3 linked regions of the Stegostoma tigrinum genome follow. The main gene of each other region encodes a partner of the protein of the gene in region 2 in a complex. Links are inferred from orthologs where the notes say so. Each region holds a gene or a part of one and is shown on either strand. Other genes may lie near its edges. The genes, in order: mapk10, atf2 and mapk8a.

Region 1 (3,752 bases), on a different chromosome or scaffold from region 2:
CTCAACTACTGTCAGTACCTCTACAGTTTCCAGGCTGTTGAATGTTATCCTTCCAACCAGTTATCTGAGTAGGCATCCTACCATCTGCCCATATCTGGAAATGTGTGTAGCAAGGAGGCGCATTTAGTACCAAATATGGTGCTACATGACTTGATTTCTGATTAATTGACAGAACTTGTCACTGGCATCTTCAGCTATTGGCAAAAATGTGCCTCTTGCAGAAAACTAAACTGTGGTCTTTATAATTAACGTTTCTGATTCCTAACTTCATATTTGTTTCAACATCTATCTATTCAAACATGTGAAGATGTTCAAAAAGGCAATGCACCTAAATTTCTTGAAAGCTGTTTTTCTGCCAGAACAGATTGTTAAAAAAATTAATGTCACCTTTTATTAAAATACAGTAATGACAATGAAGAGTAGGTGACATCTGTTCCAGCACAACTGAAACAGGCAAAATCACAATCGTTACAGTCACAGTTCTCTTTAAGAATGATATCATACTCTGACAATGTGATTGTAGAAATTGATCATGTGAAACTGATTTTTCTTTGGCAATTTTTAATTTCTATATTATTTATTAATCTTGTCCAAATATAACTTTGTCTAAATGGTGGTATTCCATGAAAAGCCCACTCCAGGCCATTCAATAGAGCTGAAACCAAAGCTCCAAGTCCAATCGTATGCAAGGGGGCAATTTTAAATAATGAAGTCAGATGGTCATCCACCCCCTTTCCTATCTTTAACTCATTGTATCAGTTGGGAGCCTAGAAAATCATTCAGCCAGCTAGTATGAAAAAAGTATTGACATAAAATGTCAATAAAATGCCATAAGCTATGGTCTATTAATCAGTGACTGAGTTGTTTCCCCAAATTCACACTATTCTCCATAGGATGAATATGAAAATAAGTTTAAGGAACTGTTTAATATTGCTATAAGACAAGGATTCTGAATTTGACTGCAGTATTTAAAGGTAAATACACTGCAGTAGTATGCTTACATCAAATTACACCATTAACTCTATAGCATCTAATTATTTGTTACATAAAATAAGACAGAAAAATATTCAAGATCCACTTAAAATAAACAAATATGTTTCTGATTTACATTTTTAAAGTTTTTGTTTTCTGATTCTCATGCACTGTTTTTTTCTGAAGACCAACAATGTTCTCCTGTAAGTAAATATGAAAATCTATGCTTTCCATGTATATGCAGAAATTAAATCATATCGAAGCCGTCTAAAATGGCTCAGTGTTCTTAACTTTAGGTTACAGCAGAGGCATTCAATGTATTTTCTACGTCATTTGTATATACCAGGACATGACCACTCCTCTAATTAACCACAATTATTTCATTTAAAGAAAAGAGGAGAAATAGATTTCCAGCTCTGAATATCAAATGTGCAAGAACTGCATAGCTTATATTTTAAAACTGAGCACAAAGACTTATGTTGTATCTGTGCAAAAAGACGCCATCACATTTGCTAAACAAGCTAGGTGTATATCCATATTTGGTCATAATCATTTGCAATATTTGCATATACCTTTCTCTCCAGAGATTCTCACACAGAGAAGTCACCAACACCCTCACTGTATAAAACGCCTTCCTCGGCAATAATCAAGAATGCACCCCAGGTAGTTTGTGCCTCTCTATCGTTCTATCCTTACAGACAATTTTAAAGCGAAATTGGCAAGTAACACAGTATTGTGAAATAATGTGATCAAGAAAATGATCAGAATACTCATTTTGTCAAACGGAGTCAGAAAAATAAATGTTCAGTGACCCTTTACAGATCCTTGTAATGTTATCAAGCAGACAATACTGATGAATGGCCAGAACAAAACACTTCCAATCCTTCTTTCAGCCGATGCTGAATCTCTTCACAAGATTAATTAGATGCGTGAATCAAAGCAGAAATCATGACCCCAGATTTCTATCACTTCGAACAGGCTGAAAGACAATCAATTAACCCCAATGATCCGAAACCGATTCACTGATATCAAAACTTGCTAATTCATCACTAAATTCATTTTAAAACAATTCGTTGTTTACATGTATATGTATATGACAAGCTATAAGGCTAGAAAGGTGTAAAATGTTTCTTGCCGACTATTTGCAAAATATTCATTTCACTTTTATCAAATTCCTCAAGTTTTCTCTTTCAAACATTAACTAAACAGTAATTTACATGCACTACATCAAGCCTTAAGCATTATTTTACTCATGTACTTTGCATTCTCTAATGACAGTAAGTTACCGGATGGATGCATATCAATACGAGGAAAAAGGCTACATCCAGCTGCCACTTGCTGGGATGCTTTCCTCATGCAATTCTAGCGGTCTACTTCATTAACCTTTGCTGAAATCAATATTCATCACCCCACCCTTAACAGGTTAGCACACTGCATCAGTATCAACCACCTACCATGCCGTGCCAACTGAAGAGAATCCTGGTATGGTAACAGTCCCCCCCACTGCAATCCGGATTCAAACCATTTTGCTTTTCGCAAAAGAAGAATGAAACACAAAAGATGCACAATGGATCGGAGAGGATGCCTGGAAAGGAGGAGGAGGAGAGAGAGAAGAGAGCTGCTGGAGAGGAGGGAGAGATTGCTGAATCACCGCCATCACCCGTGTTAAACCATTGTGCAGTCAATGCTGCCTGTACCAGTGTGGAACCTACCAGATGAGACAGACAGAGAGCCTGGGGAATAAGTTTCTATGGCAACTGAAAGGAGCACACATGACGTCAAAGCTCGCAGAAGGTCTGGGGTAGGGGGAGAGACTTTTAAATCTGACAGTATCTCCATATGCTTCCGTAATGACTTATTTAGAACCCAGTACAAAACAGTTTATCCCATAGACCTGCACTTAACACACGAATTATATAGCCGTAGCAAGCAATTAATACAGAGAGTGCACTGAGGCATCTCCAGCCAAATGTTGCCTACTGTACTAGTTTTGAAAATGCGCAGAATAATAATTTTGTTACCAAAGTACAGTTGGAGAATACTTTCGTTCACAATAAATATTCATACAGTGCACAAAGGTACAATTACCAGTACAAAAATTTTAATATATTAAAATAAAATGTTATTATTTTGTGTAATTCAACATAATCGTTATACAATATTCTTGTACAACAAGGAGGAAGAGGCTTCTCCCTACCTGTACACGCACATACACATCCACAAACATTTTTCTCATTCTCACACAACCAACTTTAACTATTTGAGGATTCTCCCGCTGTCTTATAACTGCATTAGTATTGTGTTTACCTTGAGAACACCAGCCGATTCAATTATTGTTGCTGTTAGTTTCTACCAAATTAAAATTCATTATTTTACGGATCACTGGAATATTCGTTACCCAATCAGATTAGTATATAGTTACCACTCTGAAGTTTATAAGATTATTATATCGTGAGACAGTGCCTTTAAGGCAAAAATGAATGGGATCATGTGACCTGTTCCAAAATGTGCCTGACAGCAAGCCTGGCACGTGGTTTGACTGTTAAAGATTAAAAGAAACAGTTTATTTTACTGGGAACAAGGTGCAGGTGAATATAGTTTGGAAGCAATGGCAGCAAGCTGTGTGCTAAAAGTAGAAATACTGTGAGTCTCCAAAGTTCCAGAAGCATGTTGAGAATGTTGCTTGTAAGCTGGATGGGTATCAGCCGCTACCTGAGAGGGAAAATCACATTTATTTATGAGTGAGGCTGAGCCATCCAGTTGAGATCTAGTCCATTATA
Region 2 (3,752 bases):
CACATTTGCCCCACATTGTATACCATCTGCCAAGTCTTTGCCCACTCACTTAATCTGTCTATATCTTTCTGTAAACTTTGTGTCATCCTCACAACTTGCATTCTCACCTATTGTTCCATATTCCCCACCTGTGCCAAACAGCGTATTGTTTGCTAATTTGGGTAGCACGGTGGCTCAGTGGTTAGCACTACTGCCTCAAAACACCAGGAACCCAGGTTTGATTCCACCCTCAAGTGACTGTCTGTGTGGACTCCCCGTGTCTACGTGGGGTTCCTCTGGGTGCTTTGGTTTCCTCCCACATAACAAAGATGTGCAAGCTAGGTGAATTGGCTCAGCTAAATTGCCCATAGTGTTCAGGGATGTGCAGATTAGGTGGGTTATAGAGAGATGGGTCTGGGTGGGATGCTGTGAGGGTTGGTTGGGCCGAAGTGCCTATTTCCACACTATAAAGATTCTATGATCTTTGATGTCTGCTGGTGGAACACAGCTCATTTTTTCTTGCCATGTTGACAGACTACTTTTCTATGGTTCCATTTGGATATGTCAGAATTTCCAGTTAGGATGACTACACATGACAAATTGTCTGTCAGAGTAGCGTAGGTGCTGGTAGACCATTAAAACAGTTCTGGTAGTGAAAGGCAGGTAGGTGCTGTGTACTGTGATCACAGTTGTTCCTTATACCACACTATTTACCATGAATTGACCAAAATTGGTTCCCACCGGTCAGTATGAAATGGCACATAGTGGTTCGTTCTTCTCATGTTACCAATAACTAATCCCCGAGAGTCCTTCCATTGACCATCGACTAACCCACAACAGCTTCTTGCGTACTAATGGATGACCCTTCACCTGACACCACCACCCTGCATGTGTCATGTGACCAGGTGACGTAGGGCCGAGGGTTCCTGGGTTGAACTCTCGCGAGGTGTCAGCTCGCTTGTCCGTGAGCAAGAATCAGCCCTTGTGGTAAGTTTGTAAACAACGATAATCAGTAATCTAGACGGCTCCGGGCTTCTTGTCATGACGTTTGGAGCGGCGTTTATTTTCACAATGAGCTCTGATCATGGGGCTGGGGTGTGTGAGCGGCGAGCCGCTCCGGGGTGGGTCTGTTCACGAACGTTATTTGTTAATATGGCGACGCTCCCCGGCCGCTGGGGCTCTGATTCCTGAGGCTTCCTTCCAGTTGGAGGAGGTTTCCTCACAGTGCAGGTTACTCCTCTTCTCTGGAGCCACACAAATTCCCGAGTAACCGCTTGTGTTGAGTAAAGGGCGGGGTCTTTCTGGTCTTGAATCGTGGTGCTCTTCTAGACGTGGACACATCTGTATGAGACGAACGGTAGAAAATCCAACCAGTGTCTCGTTTCCTCGAAAGCAGACCGGTAGTATCCTTGTCATTGGTATTGCTGTATTGTAACCGAGTCAAATCGTACATTGGGAACGTTAATGCGATTCACACAGCAAGTTGAACCAAAATTTGTAGCATCTTGTTATTGATGATGTACCGTATGAAATCCTGCACCTCAAACCAAACGAATCGCGTTTAATCTTATAATTGGTTTCAGGTTCTGAAGGAATTAATTAAGAGTCAATAATGGCTACTTCCCAGCCGTGGAAAGTATAAATACTGCTTCTGTTTCCTTCAGTAATAAACAGTTTTAAAATCCGATAGGCAAGTATATTTGTTAATGGGAAACTCGGGTGTAGGCCAAAAGTCCATACTACCTATCGACACCACTAAGGTAAATCAAAATTAAGTGACGCCAAGCTTAGTTTTCAAAATCTTGTCGAAGGAATTAAAAAAAGAATTCCACAGTTTTGAAAACAAGCATTCATCAGAAGGAAAAATACTTTGTAGGGCATGTGTTTGATACTTAGGAAACAGGAAGCAAAGTTTGAAGCAACACTAGGGTGGAATCATAGCACAAAAAAGAAACACGCTTGAGAGTGAACGGGCCTCTTGTTGTTTTCAGCAATATTAGAAAGGTGGCGGAAGGAACTGTCTAAATTGACAGCAGAATTGAAGTCTTGATTTTATTGTGTCATTGAGGGGAAAGTAATAAATGTTTGAAACATGACAGTGTAGGTTCCTACATTAAATGATGTGGGATTGCTGTTTGAAGTCACAAGAACTGTGCAGTCCAATGTTAACCGTTGACAGACAAGGACAATGGATGAAAAATCAAAAACATGGTAGCAGTACAATATATACTTGCCAGAGATTGAGGAAATGGTATGTATTTTAAAAAACTGAAAAAATAAATTGGTTCAGTGATGCTGCTTCATAGCAAAATGATTTATCTGTTGGACTTTTGAAGGACTGGCATACATTGAACGTAGAATAGAATCATGAAAAGCATGAGTGGGGGTGAATGATCAGTGTAAGTCATTGATCTGAAGATGGAACCAGATGAGGCAAATAAGAGGACCCTGGGGATTTCTTGCTTTAAGGGAAAAGGAGTCTAAGGAAGATGAATCAACTACGGCACAGATGGTAATTGAGAACTGTAAATGTATTTTTAATGGGGCTTCCAAATAAGTTTAGAAGTACATGGTGCCAGATTTCAGCAAAGGTTATGTGTTGTCTGAGCAATAACCAATGATTCAGAAAAGGATTATTTCATGACTTTAAAAATGATTACACTTTTGAATACACAATTGTTAAATGCACCCAGTAAGCATACACTTGATATATATTGATTTAACTTGGGCTGTAGATACTTGTAATCAACCCATTTAGACAAGTTATGACACACTCTGGAGCAGTTGGGAGTTGAATCCAATCCTTCTGGCTCAGAGGTAAGAACACTATCACTACATCACAAGAGCTCCCCAATTCAGGCTGTAACCTTAGCAGTTAACAAATGCAGAGGTTTGTTTTAGAATCTGATGTAATAGCACAGGAGGGGGCCATTTGGTCCATTTTGTATGTGCCAGTCAACAAAGATCTGACTACACTAATCCCATATTTGTCCATGGCCCTAGAGGTTCTGACAGTGCAAATGAATATCTAAATACTGCTTAAATGTTAGAGTTTTTGATCTGACCACCCTCTCAGGCAGTTCGTTCCAGGAAATTTTCTCGTCAACTTAGCCGTCAACCTCTTACCTTAAATCTATGCCCCCTCGTTTTTGTTCTCTGTACTAATGGAAAGAAATACCTTCCTATCAATGTCCCTCGTGATCTTGAACACCTCTATCAGGTCACTTCTCAACCTTAACTGCTGGAAGGAAAATAATTCCAACTTGTCCAGTCTTTCCTCATATACACTCTTGCACCATCCTGCTAAGTATCCCCTGCATCCTCTCAAGCAGAACAACACCCTTCCTCTAATGTGTTGATCAGACATCATACAGTGCGTCAATTGTGGCTTAATCCTCATGTTATACAATTTGAGTATAACCTCACTGCTCTTGTACTCTGTGCCTTGGCTAATAAAAGCAAATATCTAATTTGACTTACTTATCTGCAGTACTACCTTCAGGAATATGCATGTCAAGTTCTCTTTGGTCTTCGTTACTTTCCTGGTTTCTACCACTCATAGCTGTCTTTTTAGGATGGTGGAGTTTGCACGTTCTCCCCAAGGCTGCATAGGCTTCTTCCCGGTGTGTTGGTTTCCTTGTGTAGCTTGAGCTGATTGGCCATGCTAAATTGCCCATAACATCAAGGGATGTGCAGGCTAGGTGGATGAGTCATGGGAAATGTAGGGTTATGGGGAAGGGGGAATGCGGCCTGGATGTTGGTGTGGACTTGAT
Region 3 (3,752 bases), on a different chromosome or scaffold from region 2:
GAAAGTCAAAAACGGTAAAGAATTGCAATTCAATTAAAAGACAGAACCTTTCAACGTAGGAACCAGCAGCTGAAAGCTCAGCTCCCTGAAAAACACGACCTTTTCACCATTTCTCCAACAACACAACCTGAACAAGGATGCAAGTCTCTTGTATTAGTGATTGCGTGAAACACTGAATCCCGCAAACAAAGGAATGGGGAGGAGATGGGGGGGGGGGTGAAGAGAAATGAGGGGCTCGCGTGGCTCAAATACGATCATTCAAACGTGTTTTACGCTGATATTTAAAGTGTATTTTGCAGGTCAGCCTTTATCAATAACACAATTTGCATCTGCATGTCGACCAAGAAAGGATTTGAAATAAAATCCGCCAAGTGTTAAAGAACATAAGTGCATGCTATAAATAGAACGCCGGCGATTTTCTCTGCAATTATGGATACAGCCAGACCCTAGTTCCAAAGCGTTTACAATACCACATTTCCCGAAGACTGGGTCGACACCGGAGAATGACAATTACCTGGGCACCGAAATAAACTTCTAAAACATGTTTGAATCGAAGAGGGTGTCGATCTCCCCACCTCCCCTTCAGATCGCAAGTGATGGGGTATTTCATAGCAAACAAAAGAATCTCAAACCGATAGAGCCAGCGCCGCAGATACAGCGAGGCACAATTACCAGAGAAAAGTCTGTCAGAATACAGACAGAAAGGCACAGAACTCCCAAACAAACACCAAACTGCAAGTCAACTGATTAAATCCGGGATTTCGCAATGGCCTGCACATGTAGGAGCAGGATTGAAATAAAAGCAAAAACAAAATTACGCACAATTTGTATGAAAAGGGGATGATCACTCCCGCTCTTGTCCTTGGAGAGTGCCTGAAGAGCCTCTTGTTGGCCCTGAGGTAGAAAGCTGGTTGGACTGAGGGTAGTTCTCACAGTCGGTCCACAGAGTAAAATATACGGTGCAACCAACACAGAGGGATGGGATCCAGCAGACAAAACTAAATGAGTCCTCTGGACGTGCAGGAGGTCCCGGGGGGGGAGTCCCAGCTGGTGGCGGGAGGATGTCTGTGGTATTTACACAAGACAAAACCAGAGACACATGGGGGGGGGAGAAAGAAGAGACGTGACAGGAAATATATGGGGAGAGTAGGGGCTAAGCAAGACAGAAAAAGATGACCGCTGTGGGACAGGGTTAAGGGAGAGTGTTGTGTTGGGCAGAGAACCCCTTCGACTCTGAGTCAAAAGATCCAAATCGAGTACCACTTGACAGCTTATGTGGTCAAAACATCAAACTGTGAATTCTATCAACAGGGAAAAAAGGGTTTGGGGAATGTCAAGCTGGGAGTCACCTAGTTAGACTGACTGCAGAGTGGAGCCCACAGCCCACTGGGAAGAGGCCAGAGCCCTGTTCCAGGATAAACCAGCTGTAGAGACAGACTTAAAACATGGGTTTCATCCAAGTCCCTACCTTTCAAAACCCACCTGCTCCAGAGGTGTCATTACATCTCCCTCAGCATGTTAAGTGGGAAATATCGACAGTGTCTCTCCTGGCAGACCCGGATAGGAGACTTCTGACAAAGCAGCAGGAGATAAGCTGCTGTGTGGGGGAAGGAGTTACACTGCCTCAAGGACAGGGCGTTTAAACATACAATCACAAGGCCCAGGGAAGGGGGTATTTAAAACACACAACACCACCCCCCCCCGCCACCAAGGGTGCCGTCGAATTGTAGCTGTAAAACAGAGTCCCCCCCCTTGCTGCCCACAACCTCCCTCAGTCTTTCACCACCAGACCTTGTGCCCCACCAACTACCTCTGCTTCGCTCTCCTTCTGTCCCTCACCTCCTCTAACCGTTAAACCCTTCCATCTCACCGTTGCGACCTCAAAACCTCCCCATACCCCAGTGTTTGTCCCCCGTCCCCTACACCTGTCCCCATACCCCAGTGTTTGTCCCCCGTCCCCATACCCCACTGTTTGTCCCCCGTCCCCATACCCCACTGTTTGTCCCCCGTCCCCATACCCCACTGTTTGTCCCCCTGTTCCCTACACCTGTCCCCATACCCCACTGTTTGTCCCCCTGTTCCCTACACCTGTCCCCATACCCCACTGTTTGTCCCCCTGTTCCCTACACCTGTCCCCATACCCCACTGTTTGTCCCCCTGTTCCCTACACCTGTCCCCATACCCCACTGTTTGTCCCCCTGTTCCCTACACCTGTCCCCATACCCCACTGTTTGTCCCCCTGTTCCCTACACCTGTCCCCATACCCCACTGTTTGTCCCCCTGTTCCCTACACCTGTCCCCATACCCCACTGTTTGTCCCCCTGTTCCCTACACCTGTCCCCATACCCCACTGTTTGTCCCCCTGTTCCCTACACCTGTCCCCATACCCCACTGTTTGTCCCCCTGTTCCCTACACCTGTCCCCATACCCCACTGTTTGTCCCCCTGTTCCCTACACCTGTCCCCATACCCCACTGTTTGTCCCCCTGTTCCCTACCCCCAATCCCAGTGATTGACCCAAAACCCTCCCCCAGTGCTTGTCCTCCTCCCCAAACCCCCCTCCACTGTTTGTCCCCTACCCCAGTGTTTTCCCCATATCCCCTCCCCCACTGTCTGCCCCTTACCCCCCACCCCACTGTTTGACCCTACCCCAGTTTTTGTCCCCTAACCCCTCCCCAACTGTTCGTCCCTTGTCCCTTGTCTCTTACCCCCTACCCCCTACCCCCTACCCCCTACCCCCTACCTCCTACCTCTGTTTGTCTCCATACCGCATACCGCCTACCGCCTATCCCCTACCCATATCCCCTACCCCCCTGTTTGTCCCCATATCCTCACCCGTTCCGGCGCCGGACACAGACAAAAACCCAGCAACAGATCCACCGACAGCGGCCCCGCTCACCGACTGCGCAAAATAAAACTACGTCAACCGAGCGTGCGCGCCCCCGACAGTAGTCAGGCGCGTGTCCGTCGCCCAGCGGCAGAGCGAGTGAACGCGCACTGTCACTCGATTCCAGCCTGATCAGAGCCGGCGCCGGGGTTGGGGGGGGGGACCAGCAGCCAATAATGTTCCTCTTTTATTTTCCCATTCTGTCCCTCCACCTTCGCAGTTTTCACTTTCTGTTTTTATCCCTCTTGTCTTTTCCCATTCTGTCTCTCCACCTTCGCAGTTTTCACTTTCTGTTTTTATCCCTCTTGTCTTTTCCCATTCTGTCTCTCCAATTTTGCATTTATCGTTTTTTGTTTATTATTCTCTTTTTCTCTCTGTCTCTCTCCCTTTTTTATCCTCACTTTCTATTATTCCGTCAGTCTCTCCCCACATCATACCCTTCCCGTCCTCAGCCAAGCTCTGAGAAATTTCCACTTTGTCAACCTGGTAAAATGCCTTTGAATAAAAGCACCATCTACAATTCCATCTTAATGGTAATGCTCTTTTAAAATAACAATGGACACAGCCAACATTTCATTTCTGTCATGAACTTACCATTTCCCCTTCATGGTTTGTTATTGGTGTGGGAAATTTTGAACATTCACGAGGAACTACATTTAAAACATGAATCCATTGCTTACATGAGAAGTGTGCAAGGTCATTGTTAAAGCATACACAAGGATTTAATCATCCAACAGTAATGTTGAACATTTGTGACAAATAGGCACAAAATCAACCTCTGAAAAGAAATAGTGAATTGAATAGCGCTCATCAAACAGCATAGGTCTGCTTGACTTTGTTACATAGTTAGTCCAACCTATGGTAAG

The links.
Region 1: the proteins of atf2 (region 2) and mapk10 are in contact, whole or in part, in a crystal structure (PDB 4H36), measured with the Homo sapiens proteins. The link is inferred for Stegostoma tigrinum from reciprocal best matches to the Homo sapiens genes ATF2 and MAPK10. Residues at the interface, in NP_001243019.1 of Homo sapiens: Lys48, His49, Met51, Thr52, Leu53, Lys54, Phe55; in NP_620448.1 of Homo sapiens: Asp150, Ala151, Gln155, Met159, Glu164, Arg165, Tyr168, Val197, Lys198, Ser199, Asp200, Cys201, Trp362, Glu367.
Region 3: the proteins of atf2 (region 2) and mapk8a are in contact, whole or in part, in a crystal structure (PDB 6ZR5), measured with the Homo sapiens proteins. The link is inferred for Stegostoma tigrinum from reciprocal best matches to the Homo sapiens genes ATF2 and MAPK8. Residues at the interface, in NP_001243019.1 of Homo sapiens: Phe36, Val44, Lys48, Met51, Thr52, Leu53, Lys54, Phe55, Gly56, Pro57; in NP_001310257.1 of Homo sapiens: Asp112, Ala113, Gln117, Val118, Met121, Glu126, Arg127, Tyr130, Leu131, Tyr133, Val159, Lys160, Ser161, Asp162, Cys163, Val323, Trp324, Asp326, Ser328, Glu329.

The regions. Positions count from the first base shown.
Region 1 is NC_081354.1:75,132,543-75,136,294, forward strand, and holds the start of mapk10 (mitogen-activated protein kinase 10), read right to left. Parts: upstream 2,714-3,752; 5' UTR 2,430-2,713; coding exon 2,427-2,429; intron 2,280-2,426; exon of another isoform or gene 2,259-2,279; intron 1-2,258. UniProt on the Homo sapiens protein: Serine/threonine-protein kinase involved in various processes such as neuronal proliferation, differentiation, migration and programmed cell death.
Region 2 is NC_081360.1:47,011,872-47,015,623, forward strand, and holds the start of atf2 (cyclic AMP-dependent transcription factor ATF-2), read left to right. Parts: upstream 1-894; 5' UTR 895-966; intron 967-1,031; exon of another isoform or gene 1,032-1,379; intron 1,380-3,752. UniProt on the Homo sapiens protein: Transcriptional activator which regulates the transcription of various genes, including those involved in anti-apoptosis, cell growth, and DNA damage response.
Region 3 is NC_081390.1:9,555,544-9,559,295, reverse strand, and holds the start of mapk8a (mitogen-activated protein kinase 8), read right to left. Parts: upstream 2,948-3,752; 5' UTR 2,835-2,947; intron 1,556-2,834; exon of another isoform or gene 1,483-1,555; intron 975-1,482; exon of another isoform or gene 823-974; intron 684-822; exon of another isoform or gene 515-683; intron 1-514. UniProt on the Homo sapiens protein: Serine/threonine-protein kinase involved in various processes such as cell proliferation, differentiation, migration, transformation and programmed cell death.